Linked DNA regions of Cricetulus griseus. The protein of the gene in region 4 binds, or shares a complex with, the protein of the main gene of each other region. Links are inferred from orthologs where the notes say so. Each region holds a gene or a part of one and is shown on either strand. Other genes may lie near its edges. The genes, in order: corticotropin-releasing factor receptor 1, Hrh1, Calcr, guanine nucleotide-binding protein G(s) subunit alpha isoforms XLas-like, Adcy9, Calcrl and Gpr68.

Region 1 (3,435 bases), on a different chromosome or scaffold from region 4:
CCTCTGCTGTGGAAAATGAAATTGGAGTAAACTCTGTGAAGAGAAGGCCTCCCAGAGGCCATCACCCTCATCCACGCAGTTTTGACTATTTGTAAGAGACCCTCAGGATGGAACCAACTGTTGACATTCCCTCATAGAAAGGGGAAGTAGGGAGAGAGGGGTTGCCTGAGATTCCAGCCATTGCCTCCTATGCCTCTAGGCTAGCTGTATATAATTCTGCCCTGACTGCACAAAGCCTCATGTCTTAAGAGGGGCTGGCATTACAGAGGTAACTTGGGGTGAGACTCCATTTATGTAGCTATAGGGACGTCATACCCATGCTGTGGGGAGACTTTTTAGTGGCCTGGCTACTTTGAGGTCACCTATGCTTCTATAAATAACCCTTTGCCTACGTCCTGTAAGCAATCCCAGTAAATTTACTGGCTCCCCCAGGGGGACTTCAGTGAACTGCATCTGAGTTTGTCGTTGGACCCCTAAGGAAGGAGTAGCTGCTTGTTTGTGTTTCTCAGGGAAAGAATTCTCAAAACAGCAAGCCAGAAACTTTCTGGATCCTGGCCTAGCACTGCTTTCTCTGGCACCCACTCAGGGACTCTAGTAGTGGCTGTGTACACGTTCACTGCCCTGCCACCCAGGTGGTTCCTAACAGCTGGCAACTTCTGTCGGACTCCATCGGAGAGCAGCCTGTGCAGGGGAGATTTCACAGCTAACATGTATGATATGACAAGAACTAGGGTTGCTTTGCAGTCTCCTGAGCTGCCCTTCAGCAAGCTCCGGGGAGTAGATAATTGGAAGTCCTGTGTCGCCATGGACACATGGGCTTTGAGATGGATGTTTCTTCAAACGAGAATGTGAAGTTTGAAGATATGACCTCTGTCTCTAACAGGTTTGTTTAAAGCCACCGTTTGTGGGCTCCAAGCTGGGGCCCTGGGGCTTCTCTTCCCATGTTCACACACCCAGAATCCTTCTGCTGCACTGCCTGCATCTGTCCACCAGATGGCGCTTCAGGGCTGCTCACGTCTAACTTGCTTTTTAGTGGTACCCTTTCTGCTCCAGGGTGGAAAGGGGGGCCACGGGGCTTTCCCAGCCCCTCTCTTTCTTCTCTCACTCAAGTTTCCCCCTCCCCCACCCATCTCCTGTACTCACACTTTCACATCCTACAAAGCACAGGCAACCCCACTCAGGAATTTCCAAGAGGATACCCAGGAACACTCCACACCCACTTAGGAACTGGATCCCTGCAGCCTCCTACCTACTCTGCTGCTGTGCAAACACTCCAGCCGGAGGCAGAAGGAACTACTTTCACAAATGTGGACGACACACTTCCAGACTCCTAGTGCAGCCCAGTGAGAGGAAGGGAGGGACTGCCACTGTGAACCCAAAGTCACCAAGTCAGGCAGCTGGGATCTGGGAATGCTGATGGGGCACAGGTACTGGCTTCTGCCTTGCCTGGCTCCTCCCACCTTCTCTCTGTCTTTCTGTGAAGTTCTCAATCTTAGCTTCACACTAGAAGCACCCTGTTCCCACAGCATAGAGCTCTGAGGTACAGAACTTCCTAGATCTTCCCATTGGATTCTTGTAAGGGGCAGCTGGGATGCCCCCCACCCCAAGCTGTGACTTCAGGGTTGACTAGGAATGCACTAGTGTCCTTTCAAACAACCCAAGGCTTCAGAGAGAAGCTGGGAGAGTCTTTGAAACCACCTGGACTAGTTCCCATTAAAGCCATAGAATCTTATTGTAAAACACACCTTGCTGGGCAATAAACACTTGGGTAGCATTTACTGGGCTCTAGGTTCTATTCTATGTGCTTAGAATACTGGGCTGCACTCCATCTTCCCTACAGCTTTGAGGCAGTAGCTAGAATGAAGATACCCATTTTACAGATGAGGGAACTAAGGCCTGCTGCGACAGCCCCTAGGTCACATAGCTACTTAGTGATAGCACAATTCACAACCTGGGATGCCTGAATTCTGGTTTTGCTCTTCTTAAAACTCCAGACAGGTGACCCTGGCTGCCTAGCTCCGCCTTTGGCAGAGCACTGGGAAGGACCCTTGAATTTAGGCCAGTGTTCAGCTCTGCCTCTGTTGATGCAGAAGCCGCTGTCTTTACAGGACAGACAATGGCCAAAGCCCCCCGGGGAGTGTGCTGAAGGCTCTGACCTCACAAAGTGACTTACTTTTCATTGTCGTAGTACAGCTTCCCAATGGCCCATGCCACAATGATGGGGAAAGGTACACCTAAGAGAGAGAGGGGGGCTGTCACTGAACCCTTTGATGGAAGACCCCAGGGCAGTCCAGGACATATAGTAGAGCAGGGATTTCTGGGGGTTGAGCTCTGACGCTTCCTTCATGGTGATCCCACTATTCTCATCCCTAAGAAGGGTGCACACACCTCCCTCCCCACCCGGCCAGCCCACGTCTCCTCCTCGGTGAGGAGATGCAGGGGAGGGGCTGGCTCAGCTCACCCCAGCCAATACAGATGAACATCCACTTGCGTAGGCGGTCAGTGGAGTATGTGAGCACGATGGCCGTGTGCAGGTAGCAGCCTTCGCCAAACATCCAGAAGAAGTTGGTGACATGGAAGTAGTTGTAGGCAGCTGTCACCAACCTGCACCATGCCTGCCCAACCAGAGATGACCATGAGCTTGGGGGTGGTCAATTATAGTGCCCCACCCTCAGGTTCCTTGGGGTCCTCCTCTTGTTCTGTGGGTACTCAGGCCTGCCCCCTTTAAACTTTATGTGCACTGCTGTGAGGGTGTCAGATCCCCTGGGACTGGAGTTACAGACGGTAGTGAGCTGCCATGTGGGTGCTGAGAATTGAACCCAGATCCTCCGGAAGAGCAGCCAGTTCTCTTAACTGCTGAGCCATTTCTCCAGCCCTTCTACAGGGTAGCCCCACTCTAGCTCCTTTGACCCAGGCTTGGCCTTTTCTGTCTCCCTAGCTGGGACGCACCACATTGCTCTGGTGGACCTCGGGGCTCATGGTGAGCTGGACCACAAACCACGTGGCATTGCGCAGGATGAAAGCCGAGATGAGGTTCCAGTGGATGATGTTTCTCAGGCACCGGATGCTCCTGGGGCAGCAGCAGAGGGCAGGTGGCAGAGAGAAGGGCAGGATGAGGGCAGGTACCAGCATCATTCCAGCCCAGATGCAAGATGGAAAGACTACATCTTGGTGTGAGTGGGGCTGATAGGTTGCCCTGAGCTCCACAGGTCCATTCCTATCTGGGGCCACTAAGACATCCACTGCTGGTGGAGCCTGGTGTTGTCAGAGATTCCCGCTTTGTTCTGCACACCCCAGGAATGAAAGGCAGGGGACTGGCAAAAAGGAGAGACCTCTAACAGTAAGACCCCCTCAACTTTCAGCTCCTGGCCCCACCCACTCCCAGCTTTTTCCCATCACTTTGGCCATGCACATTTGACCTTGAGCCAGGGATGT
Region 2 (4,236 bases), on a different chromosome or scaffold from region 4:
CACTGCCCTTCCAAATGTCCTGTTTAAGGTAAGCAAAAGCATCTCATTTGGACAGATCATGCAAACAGGAACACAGACACAGAAGACCAGCTTTTACAGGGGTTCCTACTTGCAATTTACACATCGAGGTTTAACAGATTTTGAAATGTAAGTCACAACCAGACTGTGGCATAAATAAAACTGGATGCTCCCATGCTTCGAAAGGATTCACTTAGCATGTGTGATTAGAAATCACAGTCTCACAGATAGGAACCACATTGTCCCTCTGAGGGTCACCCTCTGTGGATATAAATGTGCTTCATGTTAGCTGCTTGGGAAACTGTCACCTCTTGGGGAACACCATGAGTACTTGACAGGATGCATTTTTTCCCTTTTTTTTTTTTTTTTTTTTTTTGAGAAAACCGGTAGCAAGGAGCTGGGACCACACAATGTTCTCTTCTAAGGTTATCACATGAGTGTCAAACGATCTCTGGAACCTCATCTCCTCTGCCTGTTTCTCAGTTTGTCACTCCACAGACAGGACCTGCTCATGCTTTCTGTCGCCCTGAATGAGAGCCCCCTGGTGGAGCATCCAAGAAACAAGGCTCTCTCGCCTTCCTTTTGCTTTGCTTTTTAAGATGCAGTCATTCAAAAACCACTTCCTCTTCTTCTTGACTTTTGAGGGCAGTTTTTGTCACTGTGTTGTTGTTGCCGTTTTAAGAACCAAAAGGAATCAGGAGTTGAGAATGATGGACTTGCAAGCTGTCTAATTTCCTAGGAACTCTGAGACACAGGTAAGGCAGGTTCCAGGGTGGGGCAGGCGGCTCTGGAGAAAGCTAGGAAGGGCTCAGAAGGGCTGTGTTCTGGGAAGTGGTGGTTGCAGTGGAATAGCTGCCATGCCTCTCTGGAAGGGGACAACCACACAACTCTTGCATGAGGAGTCTCAGAGTCCAGGCTAACCCTCCAGAAGAGCCCTAGCCACACATTCCTACTTCAGTTACTAGGGAACTCACATCCAGAGTGCCAGACTTCCAATGAGCACCCAAGACTCCTGCAGTCCCTGAGGTCCAGGTGTACTCTGCCAGGTCTCTTCTTCCAAATACTCTGCTTTCTACCCAAAGTACAATCTTTCTGCCAACGGCCGCCACCTGCTCTTCTTCTGACGGTCCCTGGGAACACCTCCATACTGCTCAGCCCAAGAACTTAGATTCCATTTCCCAACACCCAGGGGCCTAGTGACGCCCATGCTTTCTTCCTCTGGTTCCTTCTTGGACATCAGACGCCGTCCATCCACTATGTAGCATCCTCTTGCTATGCCCTTAGGAGCGAATGTGCAGAATTTTCTTGAATGTCTTTTTGAAGTTCTCATTGCACAGAGGGTAGATGAGTGGGTTCAATGTGGAGTTGATGTAGCCCAGCCAGATAGTGAACATGTGCACGGGTTCACTGCAGCAGCTTTTGCAAAAGGCGATGACCATGAAGAAAATAAAATAGGGAATCCAGCAGAGGATGAAGGCCGCCATGATGAAACCTAACTGCTTGGCTGCCTTCCGCTCTCGGTTCAAGTGCAGCCCAGACACATACTGCCTGGAATGTGAGCGGAGCCTCTTCCAGGTGACCTTGATGTAATCTAGGCCACTGTTAGACCCGCTTCTCAGTTTGTCTTTGCCCAGCCCTGGCTCTGTGCTCGTGTCGGAGTCGGTGGTCCGGGAGAAGGACTGTCGATCCACCAAGGTCTGGTCCTCCGATGTTTCACTGATCCGCCGGCAAGTATTCAGGCTCTGCTCATCCATTTTGGGCTGGCTCAGGACCTGGTCATTGGCCTCTGAGCCCCTGCCACCTCCCTCAGCCACAGTGTGTGTCCGTGTGACATCAAGATGGAAACAGTGACGTGAGACTGTTTCCCTATCTTCCTCTTGGCTGAAGACAGTTGGAGAGTTCGGGTTTTTGGGGTCTTTGGATGTTGACTTCTGCTCCAGTTCTCCACTAGTGTCTCTTGATGGCCTTTTCAAAACACCCCAGGGAGACTCTTTCCCAGGTTTCTTGGTATCCTCCTTGACATCCTCCGACTTCAGCTTGATTTCTAAGAAGGAAGGGAGGGAGCTGTTGGTGAGCTGGCGGTGCTGACAGTGTTGCCGCACGGCCTTGTAGATCTTTACGTAGAACCACAACATGAGCAAAGTGGGAAGGTAGAAGTTGATGATGGCGGTCATGATCTTGAACCAAGTGACATTGTAGAAGTCTGTCTCACACTTGTCTTCCCGAAGCTCTGAGGCCGGGGACATGAAGTGATGCCAGCCAAGAATGGGTATGACCCACAGGAAGGAAAGAAACCAGGCCCCCAGGATGGTGGTTGATGCACGGGTCTTGGTTCGATACCTCAGGTACCGGAGGGGGTGCTGGACGGATCGGTATCGATCAATACACAGGATAAAGACGCTGAAGATGGATGCTGTGCTGGCCACATAATCCATGGAGAGCCAAAAGAGGCAAAGGGGGCGGCCCAGGGACCACTTGGCCATGATGAGATAAAGGATATTCATGGGCATGACGACTGCACCTACAATCAGGTCTGCTACGGACAGGCTGACAATGTACAGGTTGCCCACGGTGTGCAGCTTGCGTTCACTGTGCACGGCATACAGTACCAGCAGGTTGAGACCCACTGTGACCAGGGAGATGCTACTTAGAACCACCACTAGGGGCAGCAGCTGAGGGCTGGCCATGGCGGTTCTGTTCCCCTCACACATCTTGTCTTCGAAGGTTGAGGAGACGTTGGGAAGGCTCATTGGCGCAAGGGCAGCCTCCAGCGATGGCTTCCACCCTGGGAGAAAAGACACATGATCAAAGTCAGAGATCACCTAAGAGAGCATCATGCTGCTCAGACTGGGATTGAAGCTTCTGGGGGCAGTGGGCACCCACCCAACGCGTCCACTCATGCATTCCTTCTGCCCTCGCATCCCATGATTCCTGGCATCATTCTGGGTATCAGAGATAGCAGTGGATAAACTGGACAAAACCCTCTGATCTCGTGGAGTTTGCATGCCAGAGGTGAGTCAGAACAGGGCAATCGGTACCTTGTGCAGGTCTTATTTCAAACATGTCCTGATTGACCTGAGCTTTGTCTTGTCATCTGTGTCCTTTTTGCTGGTTGCTGGTCCTGAGACAAAATTGTGGCCAGAAAGAGGCAGTGGGGCTCACAAAGCACTCTCTCTCTATGACAGATGCCAAACTATGAAAAGCACCCTTTCCCTTCTATCCTCTTCCCAGAAGGAAGTGAAGACAGGTGTTTGGATTATGTCAGTAGTTTGGAGGCGGTCAGGGAATTGTGAAGAAAACCTCAGAGGCTCCAATTTAGGGTTCAGTTGTTACTCGGCTGCTGAAGCGACCCTGAAATCTTGGTGAACAATAAAGTCTAGTAGCTAAATTCTTTCTTTGCTTAGGTCACTTCCCAGGGAGAACTGACTTGTAGCTATGAGCATCCCTAATTGGATGAGATTCAGGGGAGACAGAAGAGGTACAGAGATGTGGACTGAATCTAGCATAGGCCCAGGAAAGTCCTTTGCACTGTGGATATAGCTCAAGGATAGAGGGGTGGTTAGCATCATCAAGGCCCTGGCTTCCAGCCCAGCATCACAAACAAGATGTTTGTTTGCTTATTTGTTTGTTTATTTTTGTCTGTGTTTTGGAGACAAGATCTTGGTACAGGCATGAATGGCATGGAACTCTCTATGCAGACCAAGCTGGCCTTGAACTTGCAGCAATCACCCTGCTTCTGCTTCACCAGTGCTGAATTGCAGGTATAAGTCCCACCATATCTGGCTTCAAAATACTAATTTGCTTATTTTTATGTATTATAATAAGCAAATTAATACAAATTTTAATTTGCTTACTGCATACAATTTAGTATAATTTTAAAAAGGGTCTCAGTTAGCCTAGGCTGGCCTCAAGTCCCTAGGTAGCTGAAGATTACCTTGAACTCTTAACCTTTCTGTCTCTATCCTTTGAGTGCTGAGATTAAAGGGTGTACCATGCCTGGCTGATGCGTGTTCTATTCCCCACCTCCCTTTCTCCTTCATATTTGTGGAATGTCTTTTATGCAAAGATAGGAACAAAAGCTGCTTAGCATGCAGGGAAGCCTCACTTCCATCCTTAGCACCCAAAACAAAGTAAAAACAAGTTCCACAAACCAATAAATGAATGTGATAGTATCAACTGTCAACTTGACAGACTCTAGACCTGTGTGTTGAACCTGTG
Region 3 (3,937 bases), on a different chromosome or scaffold from region 4:
GAAATCCTGTAATAATAATTTTAAATATTAAAATTGACTTCAAACCTTTTGGCCTCCTGTTGGACTGGATAATCCAGTATATGTGGACATTCTAGTGGAATTGTAAAGGGACAGGTAAGGCAAAATCAAGATTTTTTTTTTAATCCCTGTGGGGCACTTATGCCAACTAACAATACATTTGTAGCCATCTGCAATGGATGCCTCTAAACTCAAGGGTTTTGCTGTAAGAGCAACCTTGGTGTTTAAGAGATGTTGAATCTATGGAAACTATTGGTTTCCTTTATCTACAGACACTGCATCGCAAAGATAATGAATTGGCATCTTTCCTAGTTTCTCAAGAGGACATTGGTAGTTCCTAGATTATAAACCTGACATCAAGGGGCTCATCTACAATCCAAAAAAAGTCAGGCTTCACTTGGAACTCAGGTTCTACCACATTGCAGCTCCCTGACTGTCCACAAATAGCATAGTCTAAGCTGTCCCATCTGTAAGTGGACACAACAGTGGTACCCTTGCAAGGAGGCAGCTTTGAGGATTAAATAAATTAATGCAAATCAAGTGATTATAATATGGCCTGTGGCAATTAGTCAGGAAGTGTTTACTAAATGCTTTTGCCATCCCTTGTCCCTGTATAACTTTTACCAAGGCAAAATCCAGCTGCATGGCACACCCCAACCCTTGGCGCTTCAAGGTTTTGTCTCTCTGTCTGTTTAAAATATAATTGAATATAAAATGGTACACCCAAACAGGTATATTCACAGTTTGTTTGAAAAGTCCATTATTTCAATGATCCAATTGCCAAATTATTCCAATTGTTTTTCTCCTAAAAGAGACTGAAGTCTTACTCTTGAAAGGTTTTCGGCTGCCTTAGTCAGAATTTCCTGTGGATAGTCAGAATTTTCTATGGATAGTCAGAATTTTCTATGGAACACCTCATTTGGAGCCTTGTTTGGCAAGGGTAAATCCACAACATGGGTCTATTATCATAAAATTTGGAACTATGTTGTCACTTATGGATATATTTTCATGATCTACATGAGTTCAGATTTGGATAAAATCACGTCTTAGCATGAATGGCAGCAGGTAAAATTTTTCCTAACATGTCTGCTACATTGAGACCAATCAACCTTCCCTCGCAGGCTGTAAGAGCTAAGACAGAAAGCTTTGCTCAAAAATGGCAAATAGCTTACCCGTTGTTACCCAGACAAGTGACTCACTTCTTCGATTAGCGTACCGTTATTCTACGGTGGTATAGTTCATAGTCACGGTAATAAACTCAGTTCTTAGAGCAGATCTACAGCTTAACCTCCTTTAGCCTCTGATAAGCCCCAAGAGTCAAGCATAGAAGCTGATGGTCACTGAAAACAAGCTCTATCTCCTCTTACAGGTCCAGGTTGCCCTGAAGCGCCAGTGGGCTAAGCTGAAGATCCGGTGGAGCCAGCGCTGGGGAAGGCGCCGCCGCCGACGCAACAACAACCGCGTGGTTGCGGCTCCTCGCGCTTTGGCCTTCGCTGAGACAGGTGGCCTCCCCATTTACATCTGCCATCAGGAACCGAGGAATGCTCCCATTAACAACAATCAAGGCGAAGAGGGTGTGGAAATGATCCCCATGAATGTCATCCAGCAAGACCCATCCGTCCCCCAGGAAGACTAATCTGCTTGAACGTGAAGCTGCCCCAAGAATTGTGATCCACCGAGCCTTCATTCCTGGGAGAAAGATAGACCATGCATTTCAAGTGACCCCCATCCTCCCAAGTGCTGAGCATCTCATTCGTGAAGAATTATTAAGTGAATTTGTCCATAGTGATTTTGAAGAGAGTTATTCTTGGTACTATTGCTTTGGGAGACAGTCTAGGAATAGAGTCTCTCACTGCAACTTGTCAACTCCATCATTCATCTAGGACTGAGGTGTTGAAGGCAAAGTATCCAAAAATGCCACTAAATTTACCTAGTTCAGATAAGGGTGCTCCTTGTTAATCTTGAGCCATTTGTACCTTTGAAAAATTAAAGTCACTCTCAATATTTTTAATTGTAACACTAGACTTTGAATTAGACTATTTCTGTATTTGGCTATGGATCTGGTTTTTAATTTTTTTAATTTTAATCAATTCCTATATTACATGTTTTAACATCCATACAATGTAAACTGCACAAATAACATGACCTCTGAGAGATGATGCAGTTTTTAAACCGACAAGCAGATAAGTTAAAAGAGATGATGTGTTGAATAGGAAGATATGATACTTTGACTGAAAAGACATTTAGAGTGGGTTTACTGGAACTGTATCACAGTCAGATTGCTTTTGGATAATCCTGTCCACCAGGAAGACCCAAATGCTGTAAGGAATTGATCTGAATGCTGTATTGACTTGGTCACTGACATTTATAAATTGGGAGGTCACCAAGAATCTATCTCCAAATTTTTCACTAAACTGCCAAAATTGTAATTTTCCATGAAAGAGGACACTCTTCAAAGAATTTTTGACTTTCCTAAAGTACACGATTTATAAGGCAAATCACTCCAAGGTTTATAAAGCAGATTACCTCTTGCCCTCGGGTGCTATCTAGCAGTAAGAAAGAGATTTGTTTACGACTGGTAATTAAAAGACTCCATACAAGTCCATTAACTTCCTCCTCCCACCCGGCTTCAAAGCTTAACAAGATCTCTGTGTTTTCCAGGAAGACTCAGTGCAGCTAATTACAAATCAGTTTTTAGTTGACCTCTTGTTTCCTGCTATTAGCAAAAGAGAGGAGGAAAACACAGCATAAAGAGTTCTTTTAACCACGTATTAATTCATCTTAAAATACAAACAGAGCTTCTCATCAAAACCCAGACTTACATTTCTGCATCTCTCTTTACTCCCCAGTATAAGATCTTCAAAGATCCATGAATAAACCAATAACCATTACTGATTTCTGAATCTGCAACAGCAGAGTTATCATTATCTAATTTGTATGCTAAATAAGGAGTTTCATTGAAACCCCCCCAATCTCTGCCTGTCTGTGACACCTTCTATCACTGCCTATCAGAAGTGATTTGCTTGTGTAAAGATAAAACTAAGTAGTTCTGGTTACACATTTAGTGCACCCAGAGAAAACCATATTTCCCTAGGGACCATGGACTTTGGATACTGAAAGTGTGTCTCCTTTACCAAATGTAAGGGAAGAACTGAATCGAAGGGTATTTTGTTCCAATCACAGTGTTACATGGCTATGTTCCTATTTTTTGTTTACAAACATCAAAAACAGTGTATTTCAGGCAGCTCTAGTATAAATGTGATAATGTATTGCTAAAATATTTGAGATGTTGTGCTGATGTAGTAGCAGCTGCTGAAATCAAACTGACTTATCATAGTATTGCATGCGATACCTAAATTGTGTGAACCGCTTTTGCTATGTACATGTATAAATTAATACAGAGCATATTGAAAAGGCAATGATATGTATTTGCATATTTTTTCTAGAGAAATATATTTTCATTTTTCATCTTTCATCCATTCATCTTGTTTCTGCTCATTCCATGCTTCCTTCATTTCAACCTTATACTACCAATATCCCACCTTGTTTGTCTTGTAGGAGCCAGAAAGATCTAAAAGCATAGGTTTCGTGGATCACAAGATCCTTGTCTTTATTAGTGTAACCACTTTCAATCTAACCTAGTGACACAGCCCTCATAACTCTTGATAATATGAAACCCTCCATAACTGCCAGTCTGTTATGAGATTTATTTGAGGATTACAGCATGCAAATCCAGGACAAGGAAGTAAAAAATCATTTTGATATGTGTTAGTTTCCCTTGCTCTGGAGCCAGACTTGATCTGTCCAATATCACCTCAGGTCACTAGAATTGGTATAATTACAAGTTTCTAATATCATTTGGAAGAAAGACTGAGACTTAATAAAAGGTAACCAATTAAATATCATTAGGATGCATAAG
Region 4 (4,186 bases):
AAGCCGCGAGTCTCGGTCGCCGTTACTGCCGCGGCACGGTGGGTCGGTGGGTTAGTGCTTATCGGGTCCTCTAGTTTTTAAGACCACTCTAAATGGGTCACGATCCCACGTATCCCACCCAGTCTCCATTCCCCCTTCCTGAGAAGGCAGAAGCCCGTGCTAGGTGGGGGTCTTCCGGTAAGCCCCGCGCCCCCTCCCCTATCTGCGCCGCCGGCGCCGCAGCGGTAACCGCGTAGGGGTCTTTGCTCGATTTTGCCGCAGTGTACCGCCGAGACCCTTATTTCTACTGCGTCACCATCCACATAAACAAGCCGAAGCCTGATGCGTCACGCTAGGCTATTGCTGAGAGCCCCCCCACCGGAAGTGTAATGGGGAAGGGGCATATTGAAGGGGGATTTACCGAAGCTATCCTTGACAAACAGCAAACAAAAACATTTAAAAAAAAATAATAAAATTACCCCGGAGCATTTAAAAAACAAACTGCGTGTTCATATTTGACAACTCATCGCCCTTCATCCCCTCTCCGCCTTTCCGGTGGGCTCACGACCACCTGTCGCATTTTTATGATCGCTCCTCTACCCCTTCCCGGGCATCCTAAAGGCTCATTTCCCCAACTCAGAGCTGAGAACGGGTAATTGCCCGAGGCTGGGGTCCTCGGATAAGGTGTTTGCCGCAGACTGGGGTAATCTGGGGTGACAAAGTCCTCCTGCAGTCCCTCCTCCCCTCGGGAAGAATCTGATGGGGCGGGAGGGTTTCAGCGCCTGTACTCTGTCAGACCAATGCCCACGTCTTACGTCACGTGGCCCAGCAACGCAGGAGAGCGCGCTCTCTCTCTCTGGCCAGGGGAAAAGCGAGGAGCTCAGACTCAGAAGCAGTCTGGGAGAGGAGAGGAAGGAGGCGAACCTCCCTGCGAGGCCTGCGCTCATCAGCCCCCATACCCAAAGTCGGGAACTGCCGGCACCGGGAGCCAGCTCCCGGAGCCGGCTTAGCACTGAGACCGGCGTCCTCTGGCGGCAGAGAAAGAGTTTTACTAACGATTTTCGAGACGAATCGGCACGCTCTTAGATGCCAAGAAGGCGGGGCCAAAGTTAGCAAAGTAAGAAGAGAGTCCAGAAAAGTCGTGGGAGTGGCTGGCCGACCGCAACTTGAAGGCAGAAGTGTGGCTCCGGAGGCTCCGGGTCTTCCCAGCAAGAAATGAGGTACTTCAGCCACGATCTTGAGTTTTAGCCTCTCAGAATCTATCCTTACAAAGATTGGAAACTGAGGCTGGAGAACTTTCCAGCCAATACTCGAATATTTTAAAAGAAAAAATTTTTTGACCCTAGTTTGGCTGGGTGCTCCGTCTTACGGGGCCCCAAATTTATTTTAAAAAACCGCAACCGTGTTATGGGCATGCGCAGCCGCGTCCACGGCAACAATATGCCAGGACAACACGATATCCCCGGTGAAGTCGGGGAGCAGCCCGAGCAAGAACCTTTGGAGGCCCCAGGGGCAGTTGCCCCCGGTGCTGGGCTTGGCCCAGCCGAAGAAATGGAGGCCGAACCGTCTGCCAATGAGCCCATCCCCGCCGAGAACGGCGCTGAGGGCTATGGACCCCAGGGGGTCTCCGGAACCGACTTTCAGGGCGTCCACCAGGCGGTCGAGGAAGTCGGAGTGGGTGGAGACTATAGCCCCCCACCAGAGGAATCCATGCCATTTGAGACGAAACAGCCCAGCCCCGGAGGTTTCTGGCCCACCCTGGAGCAGCCTGGAAGATCTGGGGCCCAAGCAGGTCTCAAAACCTTCAATCCAGCGCTTTTGGAGCCCGGGACCCCCAGTGGTGCGAGCCCCGCCCAGGGAACCTACAGCCCCCCACCAGAAGAAGCTATGCCATTTGAGTTCAACGAGCCTGCCCAGGAAGCCCATAGCCAGTCGCCCTTGCCAGTCCCAGACCTTGCGCCAGGAGGTCCGGAGGCAGAGGTCCTCAGAGCACTTCCCGCGGAGCCCGGGAACATCAGATTTGCAATCGCTAGCTTGCGAGATGACTACAGCCCTCCACCTGAAGAGTCTGTGCCGTTTGGGCCCGATGGAGAAGAATTTGGGGGCGATAGCCCACCCCCGGGCCTCCCCCGAGTCACCCGACAAGTCGGCTTTGGCGGCGAGTTCCCGACAGCCGCGGTCCCGAGTGCGCTCAGTCTCGCTCCCGCCGAGAACGCGCCTCCCCTCTGGGTCCACAGCGCCATTGACAGACCGTTCAGCGAGGCTATCAGAGCTCCCGCTAACTTCGCCTGCGACAGTCCCCCAATGGAGATCTCCAGACCCCCGCTGGAGATTGGCAGAGCCTCCTCTAGGGTCGGCGACGACACAACTGTCAATATGGACGGCCCCCCAATCGCAAGTGTTGGCCCGCCCATCGAAGTCTCCGGAGCACAAGATAAGAGCGAGCGCGGCGCAGAGAGACCCCCAGTTGAGCGAGAAGCAGCCGACATGGAAGGAAGCCCAACCACCGCTGCTGCGGTGGAAGGAAAAGTCCCTTCTCCGGAGAGAAGAGACGGATCCTTCACCCAGCCAGAAGCCATGGATGACAAGCCAGCCTCAGCTGCCCAGACCGTCGCTACCGAACAAGATGCCGCCTCCGCGGCTGCCAGCGGCGGCTCTCCTCCAGCCCCAGCAACACCCGCGGATCTCCAAACCGATCCCGAAGAAGTCGGAGCCACCCCAGCTGTCCGCGCGGAGCCTGACGGAGGAGCAGCCCCGGTCATCGCAGCAGCAGCCACCCCTGCCGAGTCTGAAGGTGGAGGAGATCCAGCCGCCGCGGAGGAGCCAGCCTCCGAGGCAGTCCCTGCCGCCAAGGCCGAGCCTGCCTCCGGGGCAGCCCCCGTCACCCAGGTGGAGCCCGCAGCGGCGGAAGTCTCTGCTAAGGCAGAGCCTGCCGCCCGGGCAGCCCCTGTCACCCCTCCGGAGCCCGCTCCCCGGCCAATCCCCACTGCCAGAGCCCATCCGGCTGCCGGGGCAGTCCCTGGCGCCCCAGCGATGCCAGCCTCCGCTCGGGCAACTGCCGCTAGGGCAGCCTATGCAGGTCCTCTGGTCTGGGGAGCCAGGTCACTCTCGGCTACTCCTGCCGCCCGGGCATGCCTCCCGGCCCGTGCAGCTGCCGCCGCCCGGGCAGCCTCTGCTGCCCGGGCAGTCGCTGCGGGCCACCCAATCTCTGTCGCCCGGTCAATGTCTGCCTCCCGGGCATACCCTCCCGCCCCGAGCAGGGCCCATCTTAGACCCCCCAGCCCCGAGATCCAGGTTGCTGACCCGCCTACTCCGCGGCCTGCTCCGAGGCCGAGCGCCTGGCCAGACAAGTATGAACGTGGCCGAAGCTGCTGCAGGTACGAGGAGGTATCATCCGTCATCTGCGAGATTGACTCCTCCAGCGATGAGTCGGAAGAAGGGGCCAACGGCTGCTTCCAGTACCTTCTGCGACGAAACCGCCGCCCCGGCCAGACCCGGAGCCACACGGTCGGATGCAACCCAATCCGCAACTTCTTCACCAGAACCTTTGGAAGCTGCTTCGGAGCCCCCGAGAGAGCCCGTTCCCTCAGCCCCGGGAAGGCCAAGGATCCTTTTGAAGAGAGGCGCAAACAGATGCGCAAAGAGGCCATTGAGATGCGAGAGCAGAAACGCGCAGATAAGAAACGCAGCAAGGCCATCGACAAGCAACTGGAGGAGGAGAAGATGGATTACATGTGCACACACCGCCTGCTGCTTCTAGGTAATGCGGCATCTTCTGCCCCTGGGCAGTAGGGCCGCCCTGGGCACCCGGGGAGGAGGTGGTAGGGCCTTCCGGTGGGGCTTGGGCCTTGACCACGGGAGGAGGGGGTCTGGAAACCCTGATAGAAGTTCCACGGAGGGACCCCAACTCTGCCCTGGGGGTGGGAGAGGGGATTTTTTGAGGGTTCGGGTGGCCGAAGTATATACCCTCCAGGGAGAAAAGTGGTGCCGAGCGACACTGAGGGTCGTTACCGGCCGGAGGCCAGCGCCAGCGCCAGCGATCGTAGGCTGGACAGGCGGGGGCGTGAGGTGAGCCCAGAACTGCTGGGGAGGGCCCTTCGGGGCTCCCCCGGCTTAATTGTTCGTGACCGCGGTGGGCTAGGGCCATCGGGGTGCGCGCCCCCGCCTCGCCTGGCACGGCTGCTTCGACTCAGACAGCTTGTTGTTG
Region 5 (3,500 bases), on a different chromosome or scaffold from region 4:
TTAGCTGTTCTCTCTTTCTCTCTTAGGGTTTTTTGTTTGTTTTGAGACAGATCTTGTGTAGCCCAGGTAGCCTTGAACTTGATAAGCAGCCAAGATGGCTTTGAATTCCTGATCCTCCTGATTCCATCTCCCAAGTGCTAGGGTTATAGGTGTGTGCCACCATACTCCAGGCTTCAATGGTATTCTTTTTAATAAAACTTTTAAAAACCTTTATAAAGTGTAAGTTATCTGTTTTTCTTGTTGCTTGCAAGTTTGGTGTTTGGTGGCATATCTAAGCAAGTGCGGCCTATTCCAAGCTCAGACATTTGACACAACTTCCTCAACAGGGCTGGCCTGGCTCCTAGGTTAGCAGAGACTTCGGCTCTGCTGCTGCCTGCCCTTTGTACTTCTTCCTCCCTTTCTTCTTTCTTAATTTCTCACTTCTCCTTTTCATCTCTAATTTAGGAGATCCAGGGCCCATCTGGCATCAGCTGGGCTGCACAGGGGGCTGACCTCTCTAGAGTCCCACCTGGGTGGAGTGGAGGTCAGTGCCTGCGAGGAGGATGGAATGGGCTGAGAGGAAGGGAAGTTCTGCTTTCTTCAGACTCCTGGCCCCTGCGTTGCTTAATCAGTTTTGCCATCAACTGTGGAGCCAGAAGAGGGAGCTAAAAGCCAAACATTGGAGAGCCACTCCTTCAATCGGGGCATACCTGATGGACACTACTAGGGACAGCACCTCCAGCAGCAGGTCTGCACCAAAGACAGCCAGGGCAGCCGGTGGGGGAGGAGTGGCGGTGGCTGCATATTTTAGGAAGCAGGTGATGGAGAGGATCAGGAACACCGTGGTGGACAGAAACACGTCCAGGAGGGAACTGAAGGTGGCGCTGGCAAAAGTCTTCACAGGAGAATTCTTGATGACCTGTTTAGAGCAGGAGAGGACAGGGATGAATGCAGCTGTCCACAGATGGCCAGGAGGTACAGTGTGAGGGAATGCTCCTGACCAGGCACAGGCTGGGGCATGCTCCATGTGGATCATCGCCTCATTACTGCCGAATTTAGAGAAGAGGCAAAGAGAAGTTAAGAGATTTGACTAGGGTCACACAGCAACAGACTGAAAGTCAACAGACTCAAACCATTTACATAGTCACTCTGAAAGAGGAGTTACTGTCTTAAGTCCAGGAGGACACATCTGTAAAGGCAGCGGGTGATGGAAGTGTCCAGTGAAGGGATGGATATGAAAGCTGGCATCATGGTAAGACGGGCAGACATTAGAGCAGCAGCAGCCAAGGAAAGCTTCCATGTGTGCACTGGGAGCATAGACCCTTTATCAAGAGAGCCTTCAAAGCTGGAGTGAAGGCTCAGCAATTAAGAGTATTTGTTGTTCTTATAGAGGACCTGGGTTTGATTTCCAGCACACAGATGGTTGTTCAAAACTATCCATAAGTCTAATCCTGGGGATCCAATACTCTCTTCTGACCTCCATGGGTACCAGGCATGCATGTAGTACATGTACATTCGCACATGAAAGCAAACACATTAAGAAATAATAAATGAACCAATCCTTTAAAAAAAAAGATAATGCTGTGTGGGTGCTGCTCTGTGCTGGCTGGGGGCAGGATGGACATGAAACAATGCCTGAAGGAAACTGGCAGCCTGATCATGGAATAACGGGCACAGGAAACAGGGCAGTACACAAAGTTTACTAAAGAAGCACATGCATGTTGTCAGGGAATTTAGGAGGAGGAACCTGCTGGCATATGATGTGTAGAAAACATGACCAGTTCCAGGCCCCTAGAGGCCCTTCAGAGAGGCACCGTCTCAGTCAGAGCTCTCCACACGCATACAGGAAGAGGCACTACTGCTCCTTGTCTGTAGATGGAGGCCAAGAGTGGCTATCCCCAGGTAACACAGGGAATGAGAGTCAGATAAGCTGACTCCCCAAACCCCAGGCCTTCTTAGGATGAAGAGAGAATGTGTGGCCAGAGGCTTTGGAGAAAGGATGAGAACACTGTTGCTAGGGCTTTGCATTCAGCCTTGGCAGCAGGGGTCAGGGATGAAGGGCTGGAGGTATGTAGGAGGGAAGGCCTCTGACCAGCCCTTAATTTAATGCAAGATACTTTCAGGTCAAACTGGCTCAGTTCCTCGGCCTTGGATAGACCCCAGGAGCGGAGAGGATAGGAAAAGTCAGGACTTGCTTGGCCTAGGGAAATGAGAGTGCTGGTCAGCCCCAATGTCAAGCCTGGACTCACCTGAGCAGAGTGGGCACAGCGATAGAGTACTAATACCTACCCATGGAATTCAGAGGCTCTGAAGATGGCCACCGGTCTGGTCCTAACTTCTGAGGTTCCCTAAATAGACCTAAGATCTTGGAAGTGAGGCTGCTACAATGACCTCCCCCGCAGAGGCAGATGTATGCCATTGCTCTCTCTGGGACTCTAATTAGCATTCTGGGGAGTAGCCAGGGCTTGGGCAGAGAAGACTCAGGACAGACAAGGTTTCCCAACTCCTGGTCTGGGGTGCTAAGGCTCAATACTTCTTGCTTTAGGCAAATACCTGCAGTATTTGTGTTTGAATGTTTAACGGCATTCACTGTCCAGGGCGGGGGGTGGGGTGGGGGGTGGGTGGAGGGGGGATTGACAGGGCAGCAATTCCAACCATACAAAGTAAAAATTAGTCATATCTTGCACATCATGGTCTCCCTGGGTCATGGCCTGGACATAATTGACATGCAGATCTGCCTAATAAGCAAGTGAAATCTGAATGAAACTCCTCTTAGTCCTGGGGTCCGGTGATGGTGCACTTTTAGCCCTAGGAAACTCAAGTCAGGTTGGGGGTCCAGGGAAAGAGAGCTGTGATCTGCTATCTAGAGCTCCAACCAGGCTCTGGGTTCTTCCATTCATTCTTTTCAAGCATGCCTGCTGAATATATGTGGTGTGTGGGATATGCTGGGATTTAGATAGCATTGAAACAGAGAGCTAAGTGTTAGGTTTAGAGATCAGATGGGACTCTAATATGGGATGGTGCACATGAAGAAGAAAGAAGACACAGGGAAGTAAAACCCAGGGGGTGTCAAGGACTGCTTCTTGGAGAAAATGATGTGTGAGCAGAAAGTAAAGTTAATCCCTTAACTCAAGAGTGCTAAGATGGTGGTGTGGCAGAGGAGATATCAACCCCACATTCTGGATGTAAGTACAGACCTCCTCATTTTCTGGTCCCATCTCAGAGAGTTGGAAGTGACAGCACTATGGGGAGAGAAGTGTCACTCAAGAAGCCAGACCATCCTTTCAGGGCTGGGTACAGCCATTAGAAAACCAGAAACACCAGCTATGGAGGAAACAGTCTGCATAAAGAGCCTTGGGTTTCTCCCTGGCAAAGATAAATCCACATACAGTTCGAACACGGGGCATTCTGGTTGTGGGAAGTCAACACCAGCTTTCATTTTCTTGTTACTTGGTAAAGCACAAACCAACAGTGTCCCATGAGAACAGCAACTCTGTTGTGAGGTTGAAGTAAGAACATAC
Region 6 (3,500 bases), about 86 Mb from region 4:
AAAGGATTTTCCTAATGTTCAGCATTAACTTTTAGTATTTAGACCTTTCTCCAGATCATCTGCAAGGGGTTAATTCAATAGTTTTAAAGCAATGATATAGAATAAAATGATGTCCGTTGACAAATGTTTTAATTACTTTATACTTCAATTTTATTGATGCCCTAAATCAAGTAATTTGTCATTGTTTTGTAAATTTCAAAACATACTTTTCTGACTGCTACAACAAAAATACTGGTGCAACTCCAGTAAATAAATAGTTCTTGGAATATTAGTAAATGTATGGTCATTTAAAGTAAGCTTAAAGGTGTTAAATGTGAAAAAGGTTTTCTCATTTTTAAGAGCAGGGTCATTTTTAAGTGCAAATACATTTTACTTTCTTATTTGACCAAATACAAGTACATTATAAATGTTTTTTCTAAATATTTTGAAATCTTTCTTTTCTCTGAAAAAAAAAAAAACAGAATTATCCAAAGGGTCCACATTGGCCTTTGGTCCACTCTGTTTTGTACCCTATATTTGAAACTAAGTCTGCCTTGGACTTCCCAGATTGAACCAGGAAGTTCTTTTGAGTTTGGATACGTATGGAAACTCTACTTTGGTGACACATCTTTTATGTCCTGAATCAAGGCAAAGGTCAGGTGCTTGGAAGGTCCTCCATGAATGGCACCAATGACAAAGGGTTTTCTTAAGGAAAATAGAGCATTTAGACTTTGATAGCTTTGCTACCAAATTTACTATGAACACATGTGTATTATTAAAAAAAAAAACCTGCATACAAGTTTTATCAAGCAAGGTGTTTCTTTAAAAAAGATAAATTTATGAATTACATGAACTAAAGGTCAGTGATTATTGACTTATCTTGTTTTAATATTAATATATAAGTATTTTTATACCTTCTAAAGAACAATTCTGGAAAATTTAGCATATAAAATATTTTGTTAAATTTTACTATAAAGAGTTGAATCATGCCATAAAATACACTTCACAAATACATAATGAAAATAAGCAACTAATTAATTTTTAATTAATGTATTTAAAGAACCCACATAGTTCTTTTAAATATTTGTAAAGTATATCTAGAATTAGTAGTCGCTACCTTCTGCCTGTTGAATAGGATCTTGCATAATCTTTTGGTAACATTCATATTGAGCCGTCATGATCTTGTTTCTAGTGACTCCAAGATCTGTTTGGTTAAAACCTTCTTCTTCTTCTGACTCTGCTGTGCCAAGAGTCTAAGGGAGTAAAACAGTGGCTTTAGAATGGTGGAATCTTAGTTAGAGACCTGGTGGAAAACATCAACAACAGTGAGGTGCTTGATCGCTAGAGGACTCTCCTGAGGAAAACCCCAGTGTGTGGTGTTCACCACGTTCTGTAGTCTAAACTCTGTGTCCAGTTTCAAACAGCCTTCAGGTGCTGTCAGTGACAGCACTGACAGGAGCTTCCAACTCTCCAAAGCCTGTGGTAGTTGACTGACTACAGCACAGCCTAAAATACTTGTTTTGAAATGCAAACAGCCATATTTAGTCCCCCAGTTTTGTCACTTGCTCTGTGAGTGTTGGCCAGGTATTCATCACTACTACCAAGACTCCCTTTCATCTCATAAAACAGTAGAAAATGGCATCCGGATATCAGGGAGTACCCATCACATGGAAAATAAGCAAACTTTGTACATTTGAAATGTCAAAAAAATAATTTCCTCACTGCATGGCATCACATTACCTGATTAACACTGATATTGACTGTTATTTTCTGGTAGGCTTGAGTTTCTTAATAGAAAAGTTACTCTGAGAAGTAATAAGTGAAATCCTAGACCATCATGACTATTTTTAAGTCATTTGATCTTATTTGTCAAGCTGAGGTTGAACCCAGTGACTTGTGTAAGCTAAGCAAGCACTATAGATTGAGCTACATCCTATCCCAAGACAATGTTAGAAAATCAAAATAGATAAAACCATTTTTCTGAAAAGCTTTGTAGAAATTAAGCAAAGTAATAATAGTTTCTAACATATTTATATACCATCCATGGATGAATTCAAGGGAAAGGGTCACAGCTCCTTATATTACACTAAGCTGATTGGTAAAATGTTCCAGTGTTGCCTGCAGGGAACTCTGGTTGGCCCATGTAGCTTGCTGGCACACCTAACTGAGGGTATTAGTTGAAGAAACAGTTCTGTCCTTTGAAGTCTAGTCAGTTACCCAAGATAACATCTCATAACCGCAGACACTAGACTACTTCTAGGCTTGAGGATGTTTTCCAATGTGTGTACTCACAGAAATGTAATATTGCTTTTTTGCTCATTTAAGTTTTCAGTTCCTTTGTTTGAATTTTTTTTTTGAGTGCTTTGCTTGGAAACACCACAGGAAAGTTCTTTGCTGGCACAGAATTAGATGAGATTATGTCTCTGGGTTTCCCATTCATATAAAGAAAGATGAGCAGCACTGACTGCTTTAGTCTGATGCAGAGAACAAGACGAAGAGACACACGACTACAAATAAGAAGTGAAACCAGGAAGCATGTAGCTCTTTTGAGTTTGGTAACCCTCTGACTTCACTTCTGGCTTCACAGCAATAACACACATATGTAGAGATGTGCAAGGATGTGCACATTCTCATGGAGATGCACTTGCCCCAAATTCAGCATCAAGATCTATTTGAGTGAGTGAATTGATGAATGAATGAGTAAATGAATACAAAATACAGTACATGTCTCCTAGATTTTCTTTCAATCAATACATGACAATCAATGAACAAAAAACATTTTACATGTGGCCCTGTCTCAAACCCCCCCCCACCAAAACAAAAAAAATTTAAAGACTAGAATATGTTTTTTTCTTACAAATAACTGAATTTGTGTGTCTCTCTAAAAATACTTTATGTGCTGTGTGTAACTGTACTATTATAAAGTATCACCCCAATGTTTTTCTAACTTCACCACTTTAACACGAGATTTGCCCATTTGAATCCATTGATTTTCCAACCTCCTTCAAGGACTCAACAGTCCATATTAGTTATAGAAATTCAAAGTATAAAAAAATACTGAATGAAAAGAAGTAGATTATTGCCGTGTTACTTGGATATAAAAATGAAATCAACTTACTCATCTAATAATTACTTTAACTTGTTTATTAACTTTTAACAATTTGGTGTATATTGTAAGTAAAGCATAATAGTAACTCATAAAGTGGGATGAATACTTACCATATTAAAGAGGAAGAGCAACATAAAATATAGTATATGCTTTTTCTCCATCTTTAGAGTCCAAATAAAATGTGCTGTATGTTCAAACTATAATAAAAGTGAAATAAATAAAATTCAAATTCATGAAATCAATATAGGTTTCAAAAGGAAATATCTGTTATAATTCTACACTATCTAAGAATTTAATTAGTAGTCCTACAAATATTGAAAACATTATAACAGAGCTTAGTGAAATATATTCTAGTTTAATTTGACTTACAAGTAAGAAAACATTTTGCATATGTATTTTTGTGTATAATTCG
Region 7 (4,110 bases), on a different chromosome or scaffold from region 4:
ACTCTGCACAGATGCATCCAGGGTAGATTTTTGACAATGTGCTGCACTGGTACATAACTCTTGTCACAAGGCAGAAGAGAAGACCCTACGGCACTTGATGGCCTGGTCTTGATGGGAGCTCAAGAGCAGTCCCCAACTTGTCCTGAGTTTTCCCTAACGTCAACCCCTGGATCTTCCTGACTATTTGGGGTCTTTCAAGGACACTCTGGATTTCCTTGGTGCCGGTAGAGTCACTGCACAGAAGGACTGCACAAACTCTGCTGTGATTGGTTACTTTGTTTTATTTGCAGACTGAATCACTACATAAATCCACCTCACAGTCCAACACAGGGATACTTGGCATAATAGAGATGACAATACAAAAATACAGCTCTCCATTGTAAGAGGAGCCAGACTCAGCTTGTTCCAGTCCAAGCCAGTGAGATCCAGAATTTCAGGTCAAAATGGAGAGGGGAAGGAGGGGGCGGGGATACTGCAGAATGAAGAGGTGTGGGACACTCAGCTATCACCATTGCCCCACAAGGTCCTAGGCTGGGGTAGGTATGGGTCTTTCTGGCGTGCAGCCATCTCTGACAAACTCTCCTACAAGAACTATATCAGAGTGGAGCTTGAGGCCAAACCTGTGGTCAAGAGACATGATGATGTGTGTTTTGTTAGTTTGGTTGTACCTAGGAACTCTGGGAAACTGTCACATTCCCCTCAAAGGCTGCTGGATGGTCTATAGCGTGTGGAGTGAAGGATAGGAGTTCCTGGCAGTAGTCGCATGACTCTGGTATCAGTGTCTTGGCCACAATCGCCATGGACACCCTGCCATTTTTATATTCTCTCTCTCTCTCTCTCTCTCTCTCTCTCTCTCTCTCTCTCTCTCTTTCTCTCTCTTCCGTCAGGCGCTCAGATCTAGCTAGCACTCTGGTCAGATGGAAACAAAAAACTAATTAAGAAAAGCCCTATTCAGGAACTTGGTTAGGGACACAGCTTCAGGCCCAAGTCCTCTTATTTGAGCTTTAGGATGACATTTTGGAGGGCCCCTGGGATCTCCCCAGAGAGCCCTGGGGTTTGTTTGCCATCAGCCCTTCGGGTTTGGGTTCGACCAGCCCTGTAAAAGTGGGACGTGACTGGTCCTGGGGCTGTCACTCTGCTGTTGTTCCTGCCCCCTCCATACCAGTACCGCACCACACCCCCATTCTTCACCTTAACCAGCTTCCTGTGTCACACAAGACCACAGCACATTTGGACTGGAATCATGTGTGGCAACAGTGGCACCGGAAGGCTTGGCGGTTGAAAACGTCCTGGGAGTGACAATTCTGACTCTCTCCCACCTGTAGCTCAGGCAGCATCAGAGAATATGGGAGAAGACAGGGCTCATTCACACACTCAGCAGTGCCCAGGTTCAGCACAGAGTAGGCTTCCAGGGGGTGGGGGGACCTAGCTGTGGCCCAAGACCGAGAGGTCCTTCCTGCCTGAGGAAAGAGGCACCTGTACATGGCAATGTGGGAGACAGCCACCGCACAAGCTCCAGACCACAAGGCCCGTTGGTGAAAGCTCAGGCCTAACCTAGCCTCACATACGGATGACTCAAGCTAGGCCAACCCAACTGTGGGCGATCCTCCCACTCCCAGTGAGTTAGGGGTCTGGAAGGCCGAGTGGAGCTTGGTTAACAATTCAGGCTCCTCGCCCTGGGCCCCACTTTTCCCAGAAGCCTCAGGGGCACCCAGAGGGTAGGCCTCCCTGGCCCTGCTTGTCCTGGAGCAGGTAAGGAAGGCCAGGCAGGCTCCTCGGAGACGGGCTAGGTCCCTGTGAGTGGTCTCACTGACGAAGCAGTACAGCACCGGGTCAGCTACACAGTTGAAGCTGGTGAGGAGGAGGGAGAAGTGGTAGATGTTGAAGACGCTCTTGGCAAACTCACAGCTGGCCTCCCAGAGGCTGCGCACCAGCAGCAGCACGTGGTAGGGCAGGAAGCAAGCCAGGAAGATGACCACCGTGCTCAGCACCAGCCGCTGAATCTGGTCCTTGCGGCTCTTCTGTGTGCCGTGGCTGCGGCGCACAGCCCGCAGGATGCCCTGGTAGGAGGCCAGCAGCAGGCAGATGGGGAAGAGGAAGCCCACCAGGAAGCGGTAGTAATTGATGCTACGCTGCCAGGACTGGATCGGGTAATGCTCAAAGCAGACTCGGTGCCGGTCCTCGTCCTCGATGACCTCCTTGTGCTTGAGGAAGTAGATGCTGGTCAGCAGCTCCTTGGCCCAGATGAGCACACTGACACCCACGGCTGCCTTCAGGGTTCGGAACTGGTGGAAGCGGAAGGGGTGGGCCACAGCCAGGTAGCGGTCGATGGAGATGCAGCAGAGGAAGCCCACGCTGATGTAGATGTTCTCATAGAGGAGGATGCCACACACCTGGCAGGATAGGTCACCGTAAGACCAGTTGTCGTGCTGGAGTACATACTGCAGCCAGAAGGGGAGCGAACAGATGTAGAACAGATCCGCAATGGTCAGGTTACACAGGTACACTCCCAGTTCATTCCGGGCCTTGATCTGCAGGTAGCCGAAGTAAAGGGACAGGCAATTGGCTGGGAAGCCCAACACCAGCACGGTCACATACACCACTGGGGCCAGTGTCTGGTGGATGGTGTGGTCGATGGGGCAGGTTTGTGAGGAGTTGTCTGTAGTGATGTTCCCCATCTTTGGGCCAGAAGGGGCCTCACCCCTCATGGGCGTGGAGATGGAGTCAATCTCTCGACTGCCATCTTGTTTATAGGCGGTAACTCAATTCCATCAAGGTCTGCTCCTCATTGGTGGCAGGCGAACCCCTACAAGTCAAGGCAGAAGAAGCTTTAAATAATCACAGCTAACATCTATGTAACACCTACTTATGCCAGGCACTGTTCTGTGGGCTGTATTCATTTAGAAGCTGTACCACCCAAGCAGCTCCGGTGCAACTGAAGGAGACATACCCAAATACTGGGGTGTGGCTTATGGTGCCCCGTCTCTGGCTTCCCTTATTTATCCCATTCACTTATTTATTTTTCTTGTCCCTTGGTGCAAGCAAGGGAGGTAAAGGGGAGGTCCTAGGAGCATAATTGAGCCTGGGAGTCTCCAAAGGAGACTCGAGGCAAGAGTTATTTCCGACTTGCCCACAGTGTGAGGACTCCATCATCTTACATACCAATAACAGTCTGATAACATTATAGGACTAAAGTAACTAGACCCAGTACTGAAGCCACAGCTGCTCCAGGGAGCTCTCCATACAGCATCAGAAGAGACACACCCTGGTCCACATCCTTCTGTGCGTGGCAGGAAACAATGGACAGTTTCTCATCACAGGGCCCTGCCCAAGTTCCTGCTACTCCTTAGCAAGTGTTGCCTCTCTCATCTCCCCAGTGGATCTTGGGCAAAGTTCTGGACTGGGGGTCAAAAGAAGCAAAGGTCAAGCCAGGGCCAGCCACTTGCCTGAGTTTGTGACTCTTTCTGAGCCTCAGTTTTCTTCTCTGGAATTTGGGGATTAAAAACACCTTCCCTTTCTGGTCAGGACCACATCAGAAGGTGGATGGGCGGCTGCAGTGTGTATCAGGGGCAAAAGGGGGCTTCTGAGATGCTCACTTCTTCAACACATTAGTGAGGTGACTGCATTCAGAGTTTTTGCTTGTATGTCTTGTCTTTGAAACAGGGTCTCACCATGTAGCCTGGGCTGTCCTGGAACTCACTCTGTAGATCAGGCTAGCCTCGACTTACAGAGATCTACCTGCCTCTGCCTCCTGAGGACTATGCATTCAGAATTTAACAAAAGGAACTCCAGACCACGATAATGTCTAAAGGTAGATAGAATGCAATGTTTTGTGGCCCATGTACTTGATAGTATATCAAAACAGTAAAGGCTTGAACTGTTCTATTGATTGCACCCTTCTCTCTCAGCTGGAAAAATCTCACCTGGCTAGCTACATTGGTATTTTTCTTTTCTTCCTCTTTATTATTTGTTTGTTTGTTTTTTGCAACATCTTTGTCTACTCCTGTAGTCTCCTTAGTGCCAGGGTGATAGTTCCATCTGCCCTGCTCAATTGACATTTTGAAGCCTTTTTTGCATTTTATTCCTTGAAGAAGTTGTTTTGGGCACAGT

The links.
Region 1: the proteins of guanine nucleotide-binding protein G(s) subunit alpha isoforms XLas-like (region 4) and corticotropin-releasing factor receptor 1 are in contact, whole or in part, in a cryo-EM structure (PDB 6P9X), measured with the Homo sapiens proteins. The link is inferred for Cricetulus griseus from reciprocal best matches to the Homo sapiens genes GNAS and CRHR1. Residues at the interface, in NP_000507.1 of Homo sapiens: Gln35, Arg38, Ala39, His41, Val217, Phe219, Phe376, Cys379, Arg380, Asp381, Ile383, Gln384, Arg385, His387, Leu388, Gln390, Tyr391, Glu392, Leu393, Leu394; in NP_004373.2 of Homo sapiens: Arg151, His155, Tyr212, Leu213, Ala216, Ile217, Leu219, Thr220, Tyr221, Asp224, Arg227, Ile290, Ile293, Leu294, Lys297, Leu298, Ala300, Ser301, Lys311, Lys314, Ala315, Val318, Leu319, Leu322, Phe362, Tyr363, Asn367, Ser368, Glu369.
Region 2: the proteins of guanine nucleotide-binding protein G(s) subunit alpha isoforms XLas-like (region 4) and Hrh1 are in contact, whole or in part, in a cryo-EM structure (PDB 9LRB), measured with the Homo sapiens proteins. The link is inferred for Cricetulus griseus from reciprocal best matches to the Homo sapiens genes GNAS and HRH1. Residues at the interface, in NP_000507.1 of Homo sapiens: Gln35, Arg38, Ala39, His41, Lys216, Val217, Asn218, Phe376, Cys379, Arg380, Asp381, Ile383, Gln384, Arg385, His387, Leu388, Gln390, Tyr391, Glu392, Leu393, Leu394; in NP_000852.1 of Homo sapiens: Asp124, Arg125, Ser128, Val129, Gln130, Pro132, Leu133, Arg134, Leu136, Lys137, Arg139, Thr140, Ile213, Ala216, Val217, Gln219, His220, Cys221, His223, Lys412, Ala413, Gln416, Leu417, Cys471, Asn472.
Region 3: the proteins of guanine nucleotide-binding protein G(s) subunit alpha isoforms XLas-like (region 4) and Calcr are in contact, whole or in part, in a cryo-EM structure (PDB 7TYY), measured with the Homo sapiens proteins. The link is inferred for Cricetulus griseus from reciprocal best matches to the Homo sapiens genes GNAS and CALCR. Residues at the interface, in NP_000507.1 of Homo sapiens: Lys34, Gln35, Arg38, Ala39, His41, Val217, Phe219, Tyr358, Phe376, Cys379, Arg380, Asp381, Ile383, Gln384, Arg385, His387, Leu388, Gln390, Tyr391, Glu392, Leu393, Leu394; in NP_001158210.1 of Homo sapiens: Arg180, His184, Glu240, Tyr243, Leu244, Leu247, Ile248, Val249, Val250, Ala251, Val252, Phe253, Glu255, Lys256, Ile319, Val322, Leu323, Lys326, Met327, Glu329, Thr330, Lys340, Lys343, Ala344, Ile347, Leu348, Leu351, Tyr391, Asn395, Asn396.
Region 5: the proteins of guanine nucleotide-binding protein G(s) subunit alpha isoforms XLas-like (region 4) and Adcy9 are in contact, whole or in part, in a cryo-EM structure (PDB 9U3P), measured with the Homo sapiens proteins. The link is inferred for Cricetulus griseus from reciprocal best matches to the Homo sapiens genes GNAS and ADCY9. Residues at the interface, in NP_000507.1 of Homo sapiens: Ile207, Glu209, Phe222, Arg228, Arg231, Arg232, Lys233, Trp234, Ile235, Gln236, Phe238, Asn239, Glu268, Leu272, Ser275, Ile276, Asn278, Asn279, Arg280, Trp281; in NP_001107.2 of Homo sapiens: Ala381, Phe382, Arg383, Phe1070, Glu1072, Tyr1075, Glu1076, Glu1080, Cys1081, Arg1083, Val1084, Glu1087, Asp1091, Phe1152, Asn1155, Met1156, Leu1157, Trp1158, Phe1159.
Region 6: the proteins of guanine nucleotide-binding protein G(s) subunit alpha isoforms XLas-like (region 4) and Calcrl are in contact, whole or in part, in a cryo-EM structure (PDB 6UUN), measured with the Homo sapiens proteins. The link is inferred for Cricetulus griseus from reciprocal best matches to the Homo sapiens genes GNAS and CALCRL. Residues at the interface, in NP_000507.1 of Homo sapiens: Gln35, Arg38, Ala39, His41, Val217, Phe219, Arg356, Tyr358, Phe376, Arg380, Asp381, Ile383, Gln384, Arg385, His387, Leu388, Arg389, Gln390, Tyr391, Glu392, Leu393, Leu394; in NP_001258680.1 of Homo sapiens: Arg173, His177, Tyr236, Leu237, Leu240, Ile241, Val242, Val245, Phe246, Ala247, Lys249, Ile312, Leu316, Lys319, Leu320, Val322, Thr323, Arg336, Ala337, Ile340, Leu341, Phe384, Asn388, Gly389, Glu390.
Region 7: the proteins of guanine nucleotide-binding protein G(s) subunit alpha isoforms XLas-like (region 4) and Gpr68 are in contact, whole or in part, in a cryo-EM structure (PDB 9BHM), measured with the Homo sapiens proteins. The link is inferred for Cricetulus griseus from reciprocal best matches to the Homo sapiens genes GNAS and GPR68. Residues at the interface, in NP_000507.1 of Homo sapiens: Arg38, His41, Phe219, Gly355, Tyr358, Tyr360, Phe376, Cys379, Arg380, Asp381, Ile383, Gln384, Arg385, His387, Leu388, Arg389, Gln390, Tyr391, Glu392, Leu393, Leu394; in NP_001171147.1 of Homo sapiens: Gln49, Asn54, Glu55, Leu56, Leu60, Asp118, Arg119, Ala122, Val123, Ala124, Pro126, Phe127, Arg128, His130, Arg133, Thr134, Ile208, Ala211, Val212, Ser215, His216, Gly217, Thr218, Gln219, Arg222, Gln225, Ile226, Leu229, Val230, Tyr286.

What each region holds. Positions count from the first base shown.
Region 1 is NC_048600.1:117,205,391-117,208,825, reverse strand, and holds part of corticotropin-releasing factor receptor 1, read right to left. Parts: intron 3,071-3,435; coding exon 2,950-3,070; intron 2,616-2,949; coding exon 2,462-2,615; intron 2,235-2,461; coding exon 2,174-2,234; intron 1-2,173.
Region 2 is NC_048601.1:30,303,985-30,308,220, forward strand, and holds the start of Hrh1 (histamine H1 receptor), read right to left. Parts: upstream 2,801-4,236; 5' UTR 2,769-2,800; coding exon 1,299-2,768; 3' UTR 1-1,298. UniProt on the Homo sapiens protein: G-protein-coupled receptor for histamine, a biogenic amine that functions as an immune modulator and a neurotransmitter.
Region 3 is NW_023276806.1:221,156,323-221,160,259, forward strand, and holds the end of Calcr (calcitonin receptor), read left to right. Parts: intron 1-1,387; coding exon 1,388-1,654; 3' UTR 1,655-3,437; downstream 3,438-3,937. UniProt on the Homo sapiens protein: G protein-coupled receptor activated by ligand peptides amylin (IAPP), calcitonin (CT/CALCA) and calcitonin gene-related peptide type 1 (CGRP1/CALCA).
Region 4 is NC_048599.1:4,771,606-4,775,791, reverse strand, and holds the start of guanine nucleotide-binding protein G(s) subunit alpha isoforms XLas-like, read left to right. Parts: upstream 1-1,386; coding exon 1,387-3,739; intron 3,740-3,952; coding exon 3,953-4,186. UniProt on the Homo sapiens protein: Guanine nucleotide-binding proteins (G proteins) function as transducers in numerous signaling pathways controlled by G protein-coupled receptors (GPCRs).
Region 5 is NC_048600.1:42,358,211-42,361,710, reverse strand, and holds part of Adcy9 (adenylate cyclase type 9), read right to left. Parts: intron 899-3,500; coding exon 690-898; intron 1-689. UniProt on the Homo sapiens protein: Adenylyl cyclase that catalyzes the formation of the signaling molecule cAMP in response to activation of G protein-coupled receptors.
Region 6 is NC_048599.1:91,136,944-91,140,443, reverse strand, and holds part of Calcrl (calcitonin gene-related peptide type 1 receptor), read right to left. Parts: intron 3,286-3,500; 5' UTR 3,250-3,285; coding exon 3,199-3,249; intron 1,233-3,198; coding exon 1,097-1,232; intron 1-1,096. UniProt on the Homo sapiens protein: G protein-coupled receptor which specificity is determined by its interaction with receptor-activity-modifying proteins (RAMPs). Together with RAMP1, form the receptor complex for calcitonin-gene-related peptides CALCA/CGRP1 and CALCB/CGRP2.
Region 7 is NC_048598.1:104,876,948-104,881,057, reverse strand, and holds Gpr68 (ovarian cancer G-protein coupled receptor 1), read right to left. Parts: upstream 2,801-4,110; 5' UTR 2,709-2,800; coding exon 1,581-2,708; 3' UTR 289-1,580; downstream 1-288. UniProt on the Homo sapiens protein: Proton-sensing G-protein coupled receptor activated by extracellular pH, which is required to monitor pH changes and generate adaptive reactions. The receptor is almost silent at pH 7.8 but fully activated at pH 6.8.